Linked DNA regions of Arabidopsis thaliana. The protein of the gene in region 3 interacts with the protein of the main gene of each other region in a pairwise test. Each region holds a gene or a part of one and is shown on either strand. Other genes may lie near its edges. The genes, in order: AT5G49540, IQD6, ERD4 and PAP3.

Region 1 (4,823 bases), on a different chromosome or scaffold from region 3:
TTTGCCGGTGAGATTCTTGGGAACTATACTTGCAATTATCTGAACTTCCGAGTTTTCAGATTTATTTTTTTGATAACATGTGAGTTTGTTTACGAAAAAGGAAGGAGAGTTAATTCATAAACCATTTTGTGTGCAGCTATGAGACGATCTGCCAAGGACTTAGGGATCTTGCAGTTTCGACATCGAATAATCCAAAAGCTGATTCAGGAATGGCGGTGAATGTGGCGCTAGCCGTGGATGCTTACCAGGGCGAGCTCGAAGACGTTATAAATGGAGTGGCTACTAACATTCACGGGTCTTATGTCTCCATATCGTCTCCAGACCATCCTGAATATGATTCTTTGAGGTTATTTTTTGTTGGAACATGATCACATTGGTTCTTTATTTCGGTTGAATCTCTAATTTCTCTGATTTTTTTTTTTGTTTTTATCATCAGGGAAGTGGTCATTAGCCTCTTAACCGGATCTCCACCTGGAACAAAGCTTATGAAGGCTGAGGTATTTGCAGCAGGCAGGACCAAACTTGAACGTGAAATCACCAACAACGAATATATAAAGGTCTTCACTTGAGCTCTCTTTGACTTTTTTTTTGTGTTTCGACCAAAGCGTAGTTTTAGTCTCTAAACTCTGTGTGTTGTGTGACAGGTGATGCACGAGATCTGTGAAACCAACTCTTCAGGATGGGTTTTACAGAAAGCTCGATGATGAGTTTATTAAATCATCATGACTAGATTTTAATGGTCTATAAATTTTGATATGAGTAAACGGTTCAGTAGTTATGAGATATTCATATTTTGTTTTTCCTTTTTGAAATCAAACAACCTTTTTTCTATTACTCAACTAGAGTTGGTAAGACAAGCCACACCAACACAGGAAAATAAACATAAGAAGCAACAAAAGAACTATACAATACACATAGACGGCTAAGTTCAAACTTGACAGAGAGTGTTCTAATGTTCTCTATTGAAATCTTAAGCATATTCGAATATATTTTACATGCAAGAATGTAAAAAAAAAAGAAAACAACAATGTGAACACATGAAATTGGAAGAAAGTGTAAATACTTGAAACTTTTCAATCTAAAGGTTTTCACAGTTTGATGTGATCTCAAATAACAAAAAAAGGTAATACGAACTCATAAACTGTTGTTCAAAAAGGGAACAAGAGAAACATTGTCAATCTAATTCAGTTTAGATGAAGAGGCTGCAAAACCCGAACTCAATCTTGTGTGCCGTTTCACCATCCTCATCTGGAGCAGAAGTTCCCTCAGAATATGTGCACCAAGTCATACGCAAATCTACTCCATTGTTAAGGAAACCTACTGAGACAAACAGAGAATAGAGAGAGCTGTTTTCGAGTTGCGCATATACTTGATTCTACACGAAGTAAACAAAAAGGCCATTTCTATGTTAATCACAGGTTCTTAAGAAGCTAATCATTTTTACCTACACCATACCATAGATGTTTTTCCATAAAGCTAATCAACCTTTGATTTAGTTTTGCACATTATCATAAAATGAGTATGACCACCAAATTGAGTTTAAGGATACGTCCAGAACAGCACAAACGACTGCGAAAAAGAAAACAACACCGCGATTAGTATGAGATTAACAGGTTGGATCAACAACATGTATCTTGAAGCAACAAACAATGTAATAAGAAAAGGAAATGAAGATATACCATAAGGCCACCAAGAAAACCGTCAAAAAGAACCCGATTCCACGAATCAAAGTACAAGTCAGCTGAGAATCCTGCCTTAGCCATGAGCCCAACAGATGTGATCAACATCACCACAAAGTAAAATACAAAACCAATCAAGCCATTGAATCCAATTATTCCTGCTAAGACACCAGCTATGATAGACAGAAACGTCCGGCTGCAAACACGAACAAAATGAGGGATAACAAGTCAAAAAACCCGAGAACCATCATCTTTTTAAGAAAACGAAAGAGAGAGAATTGTATTGAATCAGACCTGTTTTGAATGACTTTCAAATTGTTCTGCAAATTCTCTGCACTGAAAGTTGGTATGTCACTCATGATATCCTTTGATCTCTTCTCAGATGAACCCATTTAAGATAACAACAATCTGAAACAACATAAATTTCAAATCTTTGTATTGGATTTTACATTACAGTAACAAAAAAGGAAGAACTTGGACATCATAGAGTAAGTGTATAGATTACAAACCCAAAAAAGTATTGATTTTAAGCAAATTTCCACAGGAAAATTAGGGGTTTCTAATTGATTCAATGATTCTATAACTGGGTTTCGCTATCTAAGCATCACAATAAATTTCGATTCCTAAAGGTTAAGACTTTATGATTATCTCTTAAGTAGTCGAGAGTGGGAGCAACTATGATTAATCGATCTGGTTTTATCGATCTCTTCCGATCTACTACTTTGAGATCTACACAAACTTTGGAAAAGGAATTGATATAGACTTACAATTAGAAACGAGAGTAGTAAGAGGAAGATCGAAGTAGCTTGCTTTGGTACTTGGGATGAATTGAATGGAGAGGATGAGCCAATTTGAGAGAGAACAATCAGACGAATATCTTTAAGTTCTTTAGAGTGTTTTTAGACAAAAGAAAAACACAGAGAAAACAAGTAATATATAAACCGTAAAATCGAACCGGAACCAAACCTTAAACCGGATTGTCCACTACTAATCAAAATTAACAACACTCTCCAACTATGCTAGTTAAATTTCTTGATATTGAAACGGATAACATGATTATACATCACAATTTGTGATTATGAAAATTCGTTACTTACTACTAAAGATGAGCAGTTCAGTTTGTTCCAAGTTTTGGTTTTATAAAACCATCGCTATTACATTCAAACTGAAATTAATTCGGTTTGGTTTTGTTTGCTTAGGAGGTTTTAATATGTTTAACAAAACACTTAACCAATGCATTAGTAAGTACGGTAAATGGTTATATATGGAGTAGCGGTAAAAAAAAAACTTAGGTGCTTTTCGTTTGGTTTGGTTCCAGATTGATTTATGCAAATTTCAGTTTTGGTTAAACTTAAACCGAATGTAGACAAAATCATTCGTCGTATTCGTATCTAGCTTCAATATCAACTAAAACCAAAATAGCATTCCAGATCTCGATTCCAACAATCTCAGTAATGATAAAAATTAATTATTGCTACAATGCATCAGTCTGTAACAACAGAATCATTAGAGCGACGCTGATGATGAGGATGACGATACTCAGCTCGGATTTTAGATTCTAGGACAGAGACATATCGATCTAGAACAGAGATCACAGCTTCAAACTCCGACACTTGTTTCTCGATAGCATCCATTTGTCCTACAAATTCATCCAAGCCACCACTTTTTGATTTCATCTGTTCTGCGAAAACTCTGAGCCCAGCTGCCACGTCACCCATATCATCGTACTCTGACGCAACTCTCAGGTTCATCTTCTCCAATAGATCTAGATGGTTGTTCGTTCCCTATTTTTATCCAATTCAATTTCAGATCTGTGGAAACAAATAAATCTGTAAAATTTCGGATTGATTTTCACCTGGAGCTCGGATTTGACCATAGATGAAACACTCGTGAATAGATTTTGTAGCGATTCAGCTAGATCATCTCGTGAATCCGCCATTGATGAGGATATTTACTTCTTTTCGCAAAGACAAAGACAAAGACAAATAAACAATGGCTCTTCTGTTGTTTAGGGCACTTTCCATATTTGTTGAATTAGTGATATTTAGGTTAAGCTACACGTGGAGGCTTATTATTCGTTGATATCAACTATTGTCCATGTCTGTAAGCCTCTCCCTACGACAGAGGTTTTCAGAGCAGTAACAAACAACTTACACATGAGAGTTAACATTGCACAGTCTGAGATTATACTCGCTAGATTCTTTTCAAGTCTTGAAGAACAACATGTGCAGCGTTTCTTCCAGGTGCACCCATAACTCCGCCTCCAGGATGAGCTCCGCTGCCACACAAGTAGAGACCTTTCAAAGGGCTTCTGTAATTTGACCTGTTTCACACAGTCCAACAAAGTTTTGAATTTCATAATCATAAATCGTAAAGACTGTTTTGAGTACTTCGGAGTCACGTACCATCCTTTCACAGGGCGCATCAGGAAGAGAGAGTCTAATCCCATGGCACCGTGAAAGATGTTTCCGCCTGCAGAATACAAATGGGCAGTCATGTCAATATGGTTTGGCCATGTCGCATGTACTTGGGATCTTTCTCCAAGTACTTCACTTTATATACCTGTTAGACCAATTTCCCGTTCCAGGTCCGGAGGAGTCAACATGTCGTAGCTAATGATGGATGAGCTAAACCCGGGTGCATATTCATCAATCAGTTTGAAACACCTTTGTGCAAAGGCTTCCTGATTTTTACACAAGCAAAAGCAAATCCAGATGGGTTTGGCATGTCTTGTAGTGTAAAGGAATGTTTAGCCAAGCGTGTATAACAAACTAACTCGGTAAGTAGGATCTTCCCAGCTTCCATCTGAGGGCTTGTAAGGAGTGTACTGGATGAACAAGTTGATTACATGCTTCCCTACATACAAAATCACATTCAGAGTTCAAATCCTAAACAAGCAAAAGGGGGAGAATGTGTACCTGGGGGAGAAATGGTGTTGTCTAGTGTGGATGGAATAGTCATTTCGATCACTGGTCTTCTCGATGGTAAGCCATTTTCAGAATCATGACATGCTGAGTGAACCTCGTCCATGCTGACAGAGAGAAGATAGAACAGAGCCATTGATCACTTTTATTTGTATTATTATTTGTTCTTCGAGATACATATAATGAGGAACAAATTAGCACGAATGATACCTCTCTGCAC
Region 2 (4,529 bases), on a different chromosome or scaffold from region 3:
TGATCCCGACTGCTCATGACTTACAACACAAGTTTCCATACCTCGATCAGGTGCTTCATTAGTAACAAACAAAAACCGAGAAGTTGAGTTTCTGTGAGAGATTAGAATCTTTATGAATGTTTTTTATTTGCCTCCTTTGTAGGTCATTAAAGAGGCTATGAGATTCTACATGGTTTCTCCTTTGGTTGCAAGGGAAACTGCTAAAGAAGTGGAGATAGGAGGTTATTTACTCCCAAAGGTATATTCAAACCCATCAAGCGGATTAGTCCATTTACAGTCAGCACTTGTAATCTATTACTTACCTTGTGGTTGTTGCTTAGGGGACATGGGTTTGGTTAGCACTAGGAGTTCTAGCAAAGGACCCTAAAAACTTTCCAGAACCGGAGAAGTTCAAGCCGGAAAGATTTGATCCGAACGGAGAAGAGGAGAAACATAGACATCCATACGCTTTCATCCCATTCGGTATCGGTCCACGAGCCTGTGTTGGACAGAGATTTGCCCTGCAAGAGATCAAACTCACATTACTGCATCTCTACCGTAATTACATTTTCAGACATTCCCTAGAAATGGAGATACCACTGCAGCTTGATTATGGTATAATTCTCAGCTTCAAGAACGGGGTTAAGCTCAGAACCATCAAAAGATTCTGATTCTTGAAACAAGTGAAATAAAAGCAAGACTGAAATTTATATTTAAATTCAAAACTCCAATGTAGTTCCAAAGGAAAAAGAACAATTAACAACATACACAGATATCTCACAACACACAAGACAACAACAAGCTGTTGAAACTCCAATCTAACAAGGTCACATTTAACCTCTCGGCTTCTCGAATCGAGTAGGAACACCGAGTGGTTTGGAGAAACTAACAAAAGGATCTGAGGAAGGACTAGTCTTCAATTCCCCTGTAAACATTCCAGAGTTCTTCATAAACTGAAACTCATCCATAGATTGCCTGAGACCGCGGTTAGTTCTTCGCTTAGCCTTTGTCGATTCAGTCAAGCTCATGTAACTTGGCTTGTGCTTTTTTGCTTGACTGCTAGAGTTATCTGAAACAAGTCCAGTTTTTCCAGAAACAGGCGTAGTTGAAGTACAAATCGAGGATGAACCTGAGCTCTCGTTAAACTCATAACCAGGACTTGAAGACAGCATATGAGGAGGAGGTTTTGCAGATACTCTAGTGGTCACATTGTTTCTTCTAACTTGAACAACATCCGCAGTTTCCGGTGATTTCAAATGTTTATGAGGCAGAGGAGGAGGCGTGGCAGCGGTATCAACAGTGTCCATAAGTCTAGTCTCCCATGGCCTAGCAGCCATCCAACGCTCCAACCAACTCCATCCCCAACTATTCTTATCAAACTCTTGACTTTTAAGATACGAAATCGAACTATTCGTCTTAAGGTTTGAGCTAGTAGTTGACCTCCATTGCTACACAAAACAAGATTCCCGATTCAGCTTCAGACACGAACTTAAACAAGATGTTGAATGTGGACAAGTTAGTTACCTTTTGAGCAAGAGCATAAGCCAAAGCACGTTCCCTCTTAAAAGCACCTTCTTGTCTCTGCTGCAACTTTGACTTAATATCATCCACAGTACCTTTCCTATCACACCACCCTTCCTGAGAACATAACAAATCTCAAAACAATAAACAATCATCAAACCAATGAGCTAAAAAGGTAAAGACAAGAACCTCGACTTCTTTCAAGAGATCAGATTTGGTTCTATGTTCATCTAAAAGCTTTTGAACAGCTTGTCCTTCAACAGTCATCCTCACACGACGAGCTCTAACACGAGCTTGTACTCTCACCAAAGCTTGCATGCATCTCAATGTAACAGCTGCTTGTTTCCTAACTTGTCTTCCTCTCACTAAAGCTTGTAACCTCACTATCCCTTTCAATGCCCTCAACGCTCTTCTCGCCTAATTAACAACAAATCCTCAAATTAAACTAAGTTCTATTCCTCTCAATTCTAATCAAAACCAATTAGCAAACTCACCAAGAATCCACGAAAAGCGGTTTGGATTCTAATAGCAGCCCATTCTTCTCTAACAGCTTTGAAATCTTTAGGAGGAGCTCTAAGAACAGTAGCAACAGCAGCAGAGTAAACAGTAGAAGAATCAACACCGTCTGAATCAGACCGATGTTTTCCTCGAAAACCCTTCCATGAATCTACTGAAGTAGTCCTCCATAGCTTCCATTTCTTGTTTTTCCCATTACCCTTTTCCTGAAAACAGAGTATCTCTCGATAAAGCTTTAACCTTTGAACGAGAGAACAAAAAAAAAAGATAATGAACTTACGATTTCATCCTTCTCTAGCTTCTTGAGACCGATAATGGACTTGACCCATTTCCCTGAAGCACCCATAGATTAAAAAGTTTCGATCTTTTTGGCTCGAATTCGTAGATTATTTTTTTCTTCAGGTATGTAGAAAGTTTGAGAGTGAGAGATTGATAGAGAGAGAGAGAATATCGGAGAATGTGAAGTTGTGGTGGTAATGGAGGGAGTGGTGGGTTAAAGAGAAGTTTTTGAAATTTGAACAAATCAAAGCAAAGCAACAAACAAAATATTAATAAAAAGTTTGCTCGAGTCTTTAGGCTTTTGTCTCTGATTGTGTTTTCACACTTATTTATTACTTACACAAACAAATGTGTCTGTGTCCTTCTCAGAGTTACAGGCATGAAAAAAGAAACCATGAAAAGGTACAATAAATTAATAAATATATATATATATGTATGTTAGGCTTTTTGTTGTTTTTTACTTTTTACAGTGACTCACTCATGTTCATGTAATACCTTGTTTTGTTTTATTATTCTTATATCATTGGATTCGAAATTTAAACTTCCCAAAATGTTGCAAATCAGATTTACGAAATACATTCTCTTTCGAAAAGCAATGTTTAGCTTTTGGATTTTGTGATTTGGACTGGTTAGACCTATCACTTGTCTAATAACCTCTATAACAGAACTTATTATCTTATATAATTATGACAAGGTTTTCTTTCTAAGACCATACACATTGGTCTTATGACTCAACAGTCAACACCCTATTTAACTCTCCACAAAACAGCGTTATAGCAATTTAAACTTTACAACTCTATTGCAAATTATAATAAATTATGCTCTCATAAAAAAACTAAATTCACGAGTGATTGATACAAAAAAACAACAACTGAAACGACAAAAGAACAACCTAAATTCACGAGTTAAAGAATCGAAAAAAATGCCCATGTATCTCCCAAATTTAGTTTTCAATATATATACTATTTTTTCTCGCTCATATTTAGTTTGAGTGAATCTTGTACATGAATCTATTTGTCTAGCAACTTTAAGATTAATTAGACATAATAAAAAAAAAAGATTAATCAGACAGAGAAAAAAGATGAACTCTGTAAAGATTGGGTCCTTAGCTATACAATGAAAATGAGATATATACAATTAATTCTAATTGATGATAACTTCTTAAAATAATAAAACAAAAATTACATGAAAACATGTACCACCGAAAACATGCACCATCACACTTGGGATTGAGTCCCGCTCGATACAAATGTAGGGATTTGGCTAATGGGCCGGACAATTGTGGCCCAATGTTGAAAAAAAACTACATGAAATACACAATGAAAGGAAAAAAATTCGATCCAAGAGTTGTTTGTCTGGCTAATGGGCCGGCCAATTGTGGCCCAATGTTGAAGAAAAAACTACATTAAACATACAATGAAAGTAAAAAAAATCGAGTCAAGAGTTGTTTCTGATATGATGTACATTAGCGATTAATGTGCTAACTCACAAATCAACCAGAATGGTGGTGGCATAGCTCTTAAAGAGGAAATGAGATAGAAACAATATGTTACAAACTAAAAATAAATCAAAATCATAGAGTATTACAACACACAAATAAATAAATTGGAAACAGACTCTACATGAAACCCATGAAATGAATTAGAAGAGAGAACACAAAAATATTGTATTAAATAAAATCTTTTGCCATTTTTCAATTGAGGATCATAATACATTGACGATGAAATCCAGAGATTGAATTCCTGATACCAAAAAAAAAAAGCAAATCAAAACCAACTATTGTTTTTTAACACAATTTAATCCACCTCATTTTCATCATCATTTGCAATATCCTATTAAATCAATTCAACACTCTCTATTGTAAATAATTTTAGATCATATTAAGCGGATCACTTTCGGCAAACGAATTCTTTAGACATAGGAGTGTAACTTTGGCTTTGGGTCGTTTTTCACATATCTTTGAAGGTAGAGAGAAGAGATAGTCAAAATCCTTTTTTAACTTCTTTAGTTGTTGGAGCTTTCTTTGGAATTTGACTAAACTTATGGTTTCTCTACTGTTGGACTAGGTTGGATTTCTTCATATCCAATATTATTTGTCCGTTGTTGACTTTTCTGATATAATCAACTTTCTTCAATTGAGGTTTTGCAACTTCGCCTTCATTGTCAACTTTTTGCATGGCGGTAAGAAAAAGTCTTCGTATTTTCGTTACCTATTAGCAGTACTGCCTATTAGT
Region 3 (6,538 bases):
AAGAGGTAAGCCTAACCATTACCGGGCATAGCCTCGGAGGTGCGCTGGCGCTTATGAACGCTTACGAGGCGGCTAGAGATGTTCCAGCGTTATCTGGTAACATTTCAGTGATCTCGTTTGGTGCGCCGAGGGTAGGTAACTTGGCATTCAAGGAAAAGCTAAACAGTTTAGGAGTTAAGGTGTTACGTGTGGTGAACAAGCAAGACATTGTACCTAAGCTACCTGGTATCGTGTTCAACAAGGTACTTAACAAACTTAATCCGATAACTTCAAGGCTCAATTGGGTCTACAGGCATGTCGGAACGCAGCTTAAACTCGATGTCTTCAGTTCGCCTTACGTAAAACGTGATTCAGACTTAGGGAGGGCTCATAATCTAGAGGTGTATCTCCATGTTTTGGATGGCTTCCACCGCAAGAAATCTGGGTTTAGGGTTAACGCTAGGAGAGACGTTGCTTCGGTGAACAAGAGCACAGATATGTTGTTGGATCATCTAAGAATACCTGAGTTTTGGTACCAAGTGGCACATAAGGGTCTGATCCTTAACAAACAGACTGGCCGGTGGGTGAAGCCTGTCCGTGCACCTGAAGACATTCCCTCTCCGTTACCGACCGGACCAAAACCTATTTATAGCTTATGAGAAATAAATTTATTTTCCATTCCATTCATTCGTTTTCTTGAATCTTTAGTCCTTGTGAATTTTGGTTACAACATTTCAGTTCAATGAATATAGATCAAGCTGTGACAATAATGTATATATGTTTGAAACTACTTTAAATACAATTTGCATCAGCTAAAGAAATCAGAACATCAGAGTAGAAGAATATTAATGATGAAAAATCAAGTTGATGTTTAAAAGTAGCTTACAAAGTTACAAGTTACAACAACCATGGAACACATACAAAGAAGAATCCTAAACAAACCCTAAAATTCACACACATAACAATAAAAGCTTCTAAAAAACCAGCAAAACAAATCTATGAGATAATTTGGGGATTGGATTCAAATTTTAAACGCCTGCTATTGCGTTGAAATCTTGATAACGAGACATTGCGCCTTTGAACTCGTGTTCTTCTGGTTTGTGAGAGCTCAAGCTATGCGGAATGTATGCTCTGAAAATCTCCTCTAGGTCTGGACTCTGCTTCAGCTCACGGCAAGCTACCTCGAGAGCTGTGTGTTCGAACCCTCCGTAGAATTTCTGGCGGCACACATATCCGAAGATGAGAGAGGTGATAATGAGAGGGATCACAAGGGCCGTGTAGAAGAATGTCTTGGCTCCTAAGTAGCCAAACATTACCACTTGGAATAGAAACAACGCTGCTAGTATGCGCTGGTGAATATGCGGCCACATTCTTCCATAGCTCTCGTATGATGGAACGTACACTTTCAACGCCTGTCATACCCCGAAATAAAACAGTTCAAGATCACATTTTTGATAACCTAAGTGTTTATGGGTATAGTAAATAGAGAGAAAGTCTGACCTGATTCCTGAGGACTAGCCAGCCTAAACCAAAGTAGGTGATGCCGAATATGAGGATAAGAGGAGCAATGACTGAATAGCAGAACGTGATTGTGAGGATGAGCATGTCTCCGGGAACCCTAGTCGCATAGCTTAAGTCTCCCGGGTACCAAGCTTCTTTGACCTCCGCTTCGGTTTTGCAGAGATACTTCTTTTTCAGGTGGAAGATTATCAAAGGTATGATCCGAGACAGCTCAAGGCCATAACCGATAAAGAACCTGAAAAAAAATCATCAACATAAGATTTAGGGAACAAACGAACAATACATATGCTATTTAAGTCAAGAAGACCAAAATCTCACTTGAGAGCAACGTAGGTCAGGAAGAAAGTTGCGCTCTTAGGGAGGCTAGTAGCCAAAAGGTTAATAATCATGTCGAGTTTGGGATTTTTCGCGATATCCTTCACTGTGTTGAACAAAGTCCCAGCAAGGGTAACACCAATGAAGACATTAAAGACCGAGAAGTAAAAGTACTTCCCTGAAGCAGCCCTAATGGCATGGCTCTGTGAAGGAATCCCCTCGGCTTTGGAGAGAAACAAGAGAAGCTTCGGCAACATGGCCAAGAAAACAATGAGCGCAATCTGAGGAAGGAAAGACTCCAAAACGGTTCTTATGGCGGTTATCTCCACAACCGGCTTTATGAACGGAATAATCCTCTGAAGATTCTTAAGAGTGGTGATGGCAGAGACGAACGCGATTGGTATCATGTAAAACAGAATGGTCACTGCAACAAAGAAGTAGATGAAGTATTGCCGGATTATTCTGCTGAAGAGCTTGATGTTGAGATTCTGCCATAGGAGCTGCCGTGGCTCAGGAGCTTCGGTCACAGTCCATTTATCAACCATCTGGCAGTGCAGAGACTGAGCTGCTGATGCAGCAGCAACCCTGGTTGTGAAGAAAACCACTGCTGCGGTTTGCTGCTTCTCAGCAAGAACCGCTTTCTGCTCTGTTTCCAGTTTGGCTACAGACTCGTTGATTAGCTCAGTGTAATACTCAATGCTGTCTACTTGTTTACCGACTAGCCCACAGAAGCCGGTTTTGTTCGTGGGACGGTTATTAGTTGCTGCTAATATTGCTTCTGCTCGCGCAAGCTTCTTCTTGTAACCTTCCAATTTTTCCCATATTTTATTAACCTATACAACACAACAAAGAGCAAAGGTTAACATATTAACATTATGATGCCTAAAACCTTAAAACATATGACTTTCTTAGGCCAGAACAAGTAGATACCTTGCTGTTTTCTGTTGCGACAAGCGATCTGTAGAATGTCTCAGGGTATATTTCTCTGAAATAAGAATCAATAAACTCTTTCTGTGTCTGCCCGTCAGGTGGTGCAGGCATATCCCTAACAAGAATAGCGAATTGCTCGGGTTTTACATCAGCAGACATCAGAGCTTGAGCTCTCAATGAAGAGACATGCTTATAAGCTTTCCACAAGAAGAAATATGTGACCAAAGATATCCAGTAAACAGCTCCTAGGAACGCCCACAGCCTCGAACTTTTTTTCTGTTCAAATGAAAGGATACACATTTTGCTTTAGACTATCAAAAACTGAAAATGAATCAATAGGCAGAATGGAGTTATTGTTGTGTTTACTTACTGTGATGTTAGCCATTGATAGATTATCAAGTTGGCTAAAAGTTCCTTTGCTTGTGGTATCTGTCGCATTCTTTGTGTTCTTTATGTTGTTGTCTGTAGCGGCTAGAGGCAGTAGAGTTGGTAGGAGAAGAAGACTGGAACAAGCAAATATCCCCAGAACTGCATCAAACAAAAGCCAATTTTCAAGACATCATAAACACTTTACCTTCACCAAAATCACTGGCTCGTATATATAGACTTCAAAAAGTTCTATCTACTGATTCTAATTTCAATCACCAATGTCTAAAAGTAAAACAGAGATAACATAACATAGCAAACAAAATAGTCAGAGCCAGCAATTTACAAACAAAAAAGTTTCCATTTTGAAACGTTTTTTCCCCCAATTGTCTCTAAAGATCGAAACTTTATTAGGTTAAATCTCAAACCCAAATCAAAACCAACAGAAATCAGCAGAATTCCACCAAACCCTTGAATTGGAACCACTAAAGTAACAGAGAACAGAGATGAACAGAGAGAGATTGAGATCGAACCAGTGCTCAAGAAGACAAAGTGGACAGCAGTATCGACGCCGGATAAGTTAACGACATCTTGTTCAGAGGAAGTCAAAGCTTCACGCATCCAAGCAAAAGGGTTTCGAGTCAAGGAGGTGCCTTCCCATGGCTCCAGCCCTTTAAGGATCCGATTCGGGTAATAAATGGGAGCATTTCCAGATTTGCGAGAAAGCCAGGTGAAGAGAAGCATGAGAATGACGAAGATAACAAAAGATGTCCCTAAGGACACAAGAAAAGATCCAAACTCCATCTGGGTTTAGCCAGAGGAATCTCTCAAGCTCTCTGTTTCTTTCTAAATCTTCTCAAGTTCTCTAAAGTAGCCGTTTTTAAAGGGGTACAACAAAAGAAGGAAAGTAACAGTTTATATTGTCTTCTGGTAATTACAGGTGAGAGAAGACAGGCTTTTTCTTTTGTCACTTTATTGGTGTATTCACAGAAAAAGAAAGGAAGATATTTTTCTATTGTTTGTTTAATCTCTTTGTGGAATTGTGTAACGGAGGAGACTGGAAAAATTGAATATTGTGGAATTGATTAAATGGTGGGAGAAGGAGAAGGAGAGGTGTGTGAGAAGAGAGTGAAGAGCGTGTTTAAGTGACAAGGCCGACAGGTGTTGATGATAGAGACACCAAAGGAGATGGATTTTTTAACCCTACTTCAGGGTCCTCCTCCTCCTCTCTTTACCCATTTTGTTCCCTTTTTTATACGTTTTTATTTTATTGTATAATAAATTATTCTTTGGATTTTTCTCTTTTTGTGCTTTTGAAGTTTCTTCTATTCCCTTCTATTTTCTAGGTTTGTTTCAAAAAAGTACTCGTAAACCTTATTTACTACTACTTAGAGATCTTTGATCAGTATGACATGTTTAATGTATCTCTTAATATTTGGAAAAACATATGGTAAGAAATTACCTTTATTTCGCAAATATTTACGGTTATGGTGACATATCAATCATATAACAATTTAAGTTCAAAAAAATACTTGTATTACTATATAAATCAAAGCATATTTTGATTTAAACTAGTAATTTCATCTGAAATCCGGTTTTTCAAATAATATATGTTTTCATCCTTTTACTTAATAGACATCTTTATAAAATATATGATAGTATATTAAATTTACATAATTTGAATAACTCATAAACAATTTGCGAAATAGGTTCGTTTATGTCGAAGTTGAATATTGACTGTGTCGTAAGTAATGTGGTGGAAAAGCATTCTTGATGATATGCGTCATTTTACTCTAGTGGAGACGACCCTTGAAACAAATATATGCATCTGATTTTACACAAAAGCCTACGAAACACATCAAGATCGAATGTTATTTTGTATGTGATCAAATTCAATCAGAGGTAATAGCAACCAACCACATCTCATCAGACTCCTCTACGTTTCTTTGAATTCTAAGATTAGAAAGAGTTCAATTTCTTCTTTGAGATGTGGAGCATTCGTGATTCCATGCTTTAACTTGAACGGATATTTGAATTCTAATCTCATAACTTGTCCACTCAACAGAAACAAAACAATTTTTTCTTCTTTTTTCCTTGGTTTTTTTTTCCTTAGTTTTGTTGACTGCTTGTAGGGAATACCAGTTATTTGGGTACTCTAATTCATATTTTTATTTCCTCCAATATCAATATTCCTCTATATTCATTCTTCTTTTACTCTAAATATTCCACCAATCACACATTATTTTATTTGTATTTTATTATAAGCATTCACCAGTCACATGCACTTTATATGTTTGTATAGTTTACGTAAGAAAAAATTGTCTTGTACGTGTGTAGAATAAAAATTACGGGGATCCACACAAAAAAAAAACTTTTATGCAGTTTCAACAAGTTTTGAAATATAAAACCAAAAAAAAAGAACTAAAAACAATCGAAAGACGTCCACGACATGCTGTATTTATGTTTTACCTCATTCTATTGTTTTAAATTTTAATACTAGTGTATATCTCTTCGCCATATTTTAATCAGAAGATAAATAAATTATTGGTTTTCTTTTTTTATACAAAGAAAATTTATTGTTTTGTTTGGTGTGTTTCCATGCATGACCAGTCATGTAATATTGGTCCAATACCGGTCCTTAATTCCTTTTATGTCGATCGGGTAAAATCCACAATAGATAGATCGAAAATATATGTTATTTTTGGCATCCAACTGAATTAAATAGATAACACAAGTCACTGGACAAAACAGTAGATTTCCACTGAGACAAACCATTAATTTGGGAGAATAAATTCATAAATCTATATATAATTTATGCGAATGTGATAAAAGTTGTTATTCACAAGACAAAAGAGACCCCAAAACAAAACAAAAAGCCGTTGTCCAGTTGTTAATGCCACCTCGACGTAAAACTTCATTGCCGACACCGAAAAAAAGCTTGAAAGGGTCCCAAACCTTATCTTTATTATATGTCGATCGAAGACCCTAAAGTCTTATCTACAATGATATTTCTGTTAGTATTTGTTATTTGAAAGTAACGCCGTTCACAGATTTGGTTAGGTGGCTATTGATCCGGTCCAAAGCCCTTTTGCTGATATTTATTTCTCTTCTATTTTCACGTCGACATGTACACATACAAAGACCCACCACTTCATCTAGTTTCTTCTACTTACGGTATTAAATGATATTTCAAATATCAATGAAATTTCTCAAGTGTCTATTTTAATAAGTTGTATTAGCAAAAATTTATATAGAAGTTTTTGTTAAGAGACTGAAAATATCTAAATTTAAAGTGTTAGCAACCGTACCATATGATCACTATTCTTCCTCATATAAAGAAAAATATTACTCAATGAATGCGTTAAGTAATACCATTGGATAAGGAATAGACATCAATAGTACATACTTTTAGTTAAAAAGATGTAAA
Region 4 (5,514 bases), 5.7 Mb from region 3:
CATGGTTCATGGCAGTGGCCCATGTCTTCATTCCTTTGTCCACTCTATTAAGTCTCACCAAAAGTAAAATAAGATAAGCCTTAATAGAATGACTATTATATTTCTTTTGGGAGATAATTTTGGTATGAGCAAAAGTGTTCTTGCGATCAAATATGAGAGATCCGGGGCTTGTGAAATTATGTGACAGAATCTCATCCACAACATAGAGTTGTATATCATTTATCTTATCATATAATCCATAATTCACTATAACTTATCTATATATATTACATGATTGAAGAGAATCTGAGCACAGGACAAAAGACATGTAACAAAATCATTATCTATCTTTATAGATGAGAATCGGACCCATTTTGTGTCCCTACAAACTACACAAGAGTACTGTATGCACGCATGCTTCGGGAAAACTTGTTAATCAAATTGGATAAGAATAACGAAAATTAATTAACTTAATTAATATGGAAGCGTAAGAGAGGATGATATTTACATTTTAATATGCTTAGATTCGATATGTATATACAGTATATGCATGCAGTATTTCTAGTTAATCTCACATCTTACAAATTTTCAATAATATCTTGTTTGAAACTGTACTTTTACGCAATAAAGATTTCATTGACTTTTTTTTCTGATGCTGCTGATATGTTCTTGTCATATCATAATGTGATTCGAAAATTCGACGAAGTACGATATTGATAATTTCATAGTACATCGATCATAAACAATTACGTCCGATTAAATTGGAATCAAGAAGCGAAATAAAGCGCCTCCTTGTAAGTCTTCTTCCAATGATGCAGAACGTGTCCAAAAACATCATAAAAGACTACACGCAGTTCAGCTTCTGAAACGTGAACCGACATGAAACCTTGTCCGTCGTAGTAAAACCTCATCTCTTCTGGTTCAACGTAGTTCACGTCACCTCCTTTCCAGGCCTTGGATCCACCTCCACTTGTCATAAATTGTATGTTACTATATGCAACCAAAAATGGTGACATTTTATATCCTCCCGTACGTGGACCCTTACGTTACAATAATTGATTAATAAGAAAATAATTAACGAACAAATAAATAAATTTATTCTACCTGTCCACGCTGCTTATGTGCTCTAAGCAATGATCATGTCCGTTTACGTAGAGATCCACTTCATTTGCCTAGTAAATCGAGAACAAAAAAAACAGATTTAATTAGATAGATTTTTTCTATTGGTGCATAAACTTTATTATATGAATGGAATGGTTTTGTTACTTGGAGAATAGGTAAAAGGTGTTTCTCCAACTCAATGGTGTTCCCGTGGTGGCCTGCGCTTTTGATCGTATGGTGACCAATCACTATTTTCCACTTTGCGACTGACTCTCTCAACGCCACGTCGAGTTCCTATATTATTACATTATAGCTTTCGTTAGTCACTCGCTCGTAAAAAGAAAAAAAGTTGCATTGGCAGATTGTTCTCTAATCATATCGCATTACATACCTAATTAAAACGCGATTCCATTTGAAAATAGACAAAATAAAAGCTGCGTTTAACATCCAATCATAACTTTATAAAAAAATCCAATCATAACAAAAGAAAAAGGAATGTTTTGCCCAAAACACGTATATAATGACGTTCCTAAGTTAATATTAATTCTATTTCGACGAAAAAAGAAAGAAAGGAAGATTTACTTAAAAAATTGTTACCTTTAAGAGATTATTCAGATATGTTTGCCTAGGTAATACACCGCTCCAGTCATAAACATGCTTATTTGGTTGAATAAAGTATTTATCGACGAACGGAGTTGTGTCGACGAAGAACAAATCGACGATCTCTGTTCAGTTAACGAAATTAACAAAAATAAAAAAATAATTGGAGGATTAATAAAATATTTCTAACTTTTGAAGAAATATTATATAGGAGGAATTACCAGCATTTACAATGAAAGATCTCATGCAAACCCATCTGTTGTCCAGAGCTCTGAGCATAGGGCTAAGTTGTGCCCTGACGTCACCTCTATAATCATGATTTCCTAAAACTTTAGGTTAAAGAAAATGTAATTAACACATTGAACCACATATCGTTTAATAATTAAGATCCAACGACGAATGTACACATTGAACCACACATTTACCACTATACCAAGGTTTCTGCAAGCTCGGAGCGGTATAAATGTTGGTAAAAGAATCTTGAAATAGAGGATCGTGCAAGCTGGTTAAACCATTGTCGTAAAAATTATCTCCAGTAGAAATCACAAAATCGATATCTAATTTCTCTCCGATTTCTCCCATCTGTTTAAATTTCGTGTGAAATAATTTAGCATAAAATAACTAAAAACAACAGTATAAAAGAAAACATCAAACTAGCATAAAATTTACCACATTGAGTTCATCTGCAAAACAACAGTACAAACAAAAATCATATGTAGAATATCTTCGTACACTAAAGCTGTTTTCTTAACACAGACCGAATCTTTCAAGTTCCTCTAACATGACTTTCTTTCTTTTTATGGTATCTTATAACATGGTGTTCAAGAATTAGTAATATATATTGAAATTGAATAATAATAATAAAAAAAAGAAAAAAAAAGAATAATATAAAAACATAAGGGCCGGCATTAATATGAAGACCAGTAAATTTGATCCTCATATCACGTATGCTCTTGAAGGCATACGCATATATATGTTTACGTAATACGTATTAATTATACACTATTGAATTTGCATTATATATTTATATATATGCGTACAGGCGAGAAATATAGTAAATAACTTGTAAATGAAAATAAGAAGTAACCTGAAGAGCTACTTGGGACTGATTATAGGAGCCTCTTCTTCCCCAGTCTCCGATAACGAGAAAGCTCACTGTACCATCGGTTTTTGATGGCTGCAGTAGCCTGCGGAGCTCCGCCGTGGAACTATGGGAGGAGAATATAATAATCAAATTATAAACGTAAAATACCAAATTTACAGGTTTGTGTTTTAAGGTAGCCATTGAGAGATTAGAAAAGCAAAAGAGGAAGAAGATAAGGAAAGGAATGGTTGATTTTGTTGTGATCTTTGTGTCTCTATATATGTAGGTCATTTCGAGGTTGATAAATATGAATAAAAATTATTTGCCATTTTGAGAAATGTAGTCCATTTTTGTTTTCTATTTCAATCTTTTGATTTGTCAATTTTATTACAATAATTTGAATCGGTAATTTTTTTGTCACCCACTTTTTCAGATATTTATCAATAACGAAATATAATGACAAGATAAATTTAAATAAAATAAATAGCGGTTGAAAATTAGCTGTTGAAATATTTTAAACATAAAGAAATTGGATATTGACAGTTTAAGGATATTTGAAAATTTCTATTATCAGTGAAAATATACGTAAATTTCTACTACATTTTTATTTCTAACATTATACATAAACATATTATCTAAATTTGGATTATGACACATCAAACAACAGTATGCATACAAACTATTATTACACCGTGAATTCTGATCACACAAATTCTTTCTAAAATCGCATTTTAAAAACAAAATATACTTGAAAAAAATAGAAATAAAATTTACGAAGCTCGGGTATGTGCGTTGTCATACAAGAAGAGTAGAAGACAGCATAAACGCCCATGCCACAAATTTGTCGGAAATTGCAATTATTAGCTTTGAGTCACATTATTGATGTGAGTCTAACGAAAACTTCCAAATTCTCTCAATTATTGTTGACCGTTAGTTATTTTACAGTATAGTTCTGAACATAAAATAATGTGAATAGTTTACTAAATTCGTTCAACATATTAAAGAAAAATCAAAATCCCATTTATACAAAAATTTGAAAGTATATCCTTACTGGATATGAGAAAATAAATGCAAATGGGTTGGCCTATGTTATTGGGCCGATACCCATTTCTCTAATGAAAAGAAAGATCTATAAAAACAAACTTCTGCTTCTCGACTAGGACATTAATTCTGAGGTATGACTATGAAGGTATCATATTATTTTGTAATTCTTGGCCAAAACTTGTCACCTGTGTGTTTGTATGTTCTTACAAAAGAGAAAACTAATGAGCATTAACTTCTGCAACGTTTATTTTACATGTTTGGTCTTATTGCTGATTCAGTCTAGTTCGTCGAGTATTTTGAAAACAACTTGAGGAGTTAATCAAAAGAAACAAGCTTAATGTGGTATATATGTTCCTTACGACTATAGTTCCTATTAGTATGATGTAGTCAGCAAGATTGACTTATGATGACTATAGAAACTTCACTGAATATCTCTGGTGGTCCTAGACAGTCACAGTGTCCTACTGTATCTTTAGTTTGGTTCGCCAAGTCTAGTATCGGACCGTATAGATAGAGAGATGTCAATTGTGTTTATGTGTTTTTTTTTTCTCTCTGAAGCAAATTGATTGATCGATTTGTCAGCAATTCCTTTCGAGTCAAAAGTTTTGACCAACCAGCTTCTTCGTGAAACTCTCTAGCTGTATTCACACATACACACACACACCTAACAAAATTATTGAAACAGTGGGTTTGATGTAAAGCCTAAATCATTCAACCACCTCTCTCTATTTCTTTTTTGTTCTTTTTTTCTATGCAACATATGATTATATATTAGATCCATGTGATATTGCTTGAGTCTTTAATTTAAGGCTTTATAAATAGAACAAATATAGGCCTTTTTAGGTCAACACGTGTGTGTGGAAATGATGCTAATGCTTCCAAAATGAAACAGAATAATGTCGTCATGAGCTACTCATTTACAAGAGGATTGTTTTAGTGTTGGATTGGCTAATAGACTTGGATCGATATCTATAATATAGACCATATATATAATATGTTTAGCCTAAACAATGATATATATGTCATGTGACACTTATGTGTTTTAGCAATCACTAAAATAATGCAAACATTAATACATGTAGGTGAGTTGTGAGTTCAAATAATATTAGTCAATACTCAATAGTCACTGTAATTGATATTTTGAATGGCTTATCCTATGAAAATTTAGTACTTTCATAGAGAGAAAAAAAAAACAAATGTTAATCTAAAGACGACAATTTAGATTTTAGCAGTCGCACCAGAACTAGTACCAGGAAACATAAGATAATATATACAGGACTAGCTACTTCATTATCTTTACGTAGTTTATGACAAAGATTGTTGTATAATCTTCATCAGCTGACTTCTTTATTTATGAATGAAGTGGTTAGAACTCAACTTGTCGGCTAATAATTCAAGCAACCCAACACAATGTTTGGGATTATCCTGTTTCTGTCTTCTTCTAAACTTTCTAAAGTAAGGCTGCTTGTTCTGTCAGTACGTGTGAGATATTAACATAGTTATAAGACAAACATAAATATCAGAAATTCAATATATAATGTCATAATAATTGCTTATTTGATTAGTAGTTGTGTCTCTCGCTCTGGTGGCTTCTTGCTTTCCTCCCTGTCGGATTGCTAGTGGTTTGACTTCGATGTGAGTTCTTTCCGATCTTATTGGTGTTTCCGACGTTTTCCGTTTCTTTGGGGAAGCTTTGTGAGGGTTCC

Evidence for each region.
Region 1: the proteins of ERD4 (region 3) and AT5G49540 interact in a protein complementation assay, tested with the Arabidopsis thaliana proteins (one large-scale study listed by BioGRID).
Region 2: the proteins of ERD4 (region 3) and IQD6 interact in a protein complementation assay, tested with the Arabidopsis thaliana proteins (one large-scale study listed by BioGRID).
Region 4: the proteins of ERD4 (region 3) and PAP3 interact in a protein complementation assay, tested with the Arabidopsis thaliana proteins (one large-scale study listed by BioGRID).

The regions. Positions count from the first base shown.
Region 1 is NC_003076.8:20,103,539-20,108,361, forward strand, and holds AT5G49540 (Rab5-interacting family protein), read right to left. Parts: upstream 2,741-4,823; 5' UTR 2,447-2,740; intron 2,088-2,446; 5' UTR 2,072-2,087; coding exon 1,974-2,071; intron 1,876-1,973; coding exon 1,680-1,875; intron 1,570-1,679; coding exon 1,550-1,569; coding exon of another isoform or gene 1,540-1,549; exon of another isoform or gene 1,297-1,539; coding exon 1,266-1,296; 3' UTR 943-1,265; downstream 1-942. Other genes in the region: AT5G49530 (SIN-like family protein), read left to right, coding at 1-7, 137-346, 437-557, 645-704; BLOS2 (biogenesis of lysosome organelles complex 1 subunit-like protein), read right to left, coding at 3,164-3,463, 3,535-3,618; AT5G49555 (FAD/NAD(P)-binding oxidoreductase family protein), read right to left, coding at 3,873-4,002, 4,085-4,151, 4,242-4,362, 4,456-4,535, 4,598-4,710, 4,814-4,823.
Region 2 is NC_003071.7:11,142,621-11,147,149, forward strand, and holds IQD6 (IQ-domain 6), read right to left. Parts: upstream 2,484-4,529; 5' UTR 2,363-2,483; coding exon 2,297-2,362; intron 2,223-2,296; coding exon 1,995-2,222; intron 1,918-1,994; coding exon 1,690-1,917; intron 1,618-1,689; coding exon 1,504-1,617; intron 1,428-1,503; coding exon 813-1,427; 3' UTR 670-812; downstream 1-669. Other genes in the region: CYP711A1 (cytochrome P450, family 711, subfamily A, polypeptide 1), read left to right, coding at 1-50, 143-238, 321-650. UniProt on the Arabidopsis thaliana protein: May be involved in cooperative interactions with calmodulins or calmodulin-like proteins. Recruits calmodulin proteins to microtubules, thus being a potential scaffold in cellular signaling and trafficking.
Region 3 is NC_003070.9:10,713,269-10,719,806, reverse strand, and holds ERD4 (Early-responsive to dehydration stress protein (ERD4)), read right to left. Parts: upstream 4,326-6,538; 5' UTR 3,916-4,325; coding exon 3,645-3,915; intron 3,274-3,644; coding exon 3,116-3,273; intron 3,022-3,115; coding exon 2,746-3,021; intron 2,649-2,745; coding exon 1,819-2,648; intron 1,736-1,818; coding exon 1,480-1,735; intron 1,392-1,479; coding exon 1,008-1,391; 3' UTR 810-1,007; downstream 1-809. Other genes in the region: DLAH (alpha/beta-Hydrolases superfamily protein), read left to right, coding at 1-638. UniProt on the Arabidopsis thaliana protein: Acts as a hyperosmolarity-gated non-selective cation channel that permeates Ca(2+) ions. Mechanosensitive ion channel that converts mechanical stimuli into a flow of ions: activated in response to membrane stretch. Not activated in response to membrane poke.
Region 4 is NC_003070.9:5,056,221-5,061,734, reverse strand, and holds PAP3 (purple acid phosphatase 3), read right to left. Parts: upstream 3,153-5,514; 5' UTR 3,056-3,152; coding exon 2,768-3,055; exon of another isoform or gene 2,350-2,767; intron 2,263-2,349; coding exon 2,106-2,262; intron 2,010-2,105; coding exon 1,902-2,009; intron 1,806-1,901; coding exon 1,678-1,805; intron 1,375-1,677; coding exon 1,246-1,374; intron 1,152-1,245; coding exon 1,084-1,151; coding exon of another isoform or gene 1,080-1,083; exon of another isoform or gene 970-1,079; coding exon 747-969; 3' UTR 595-746; downstream 1-594.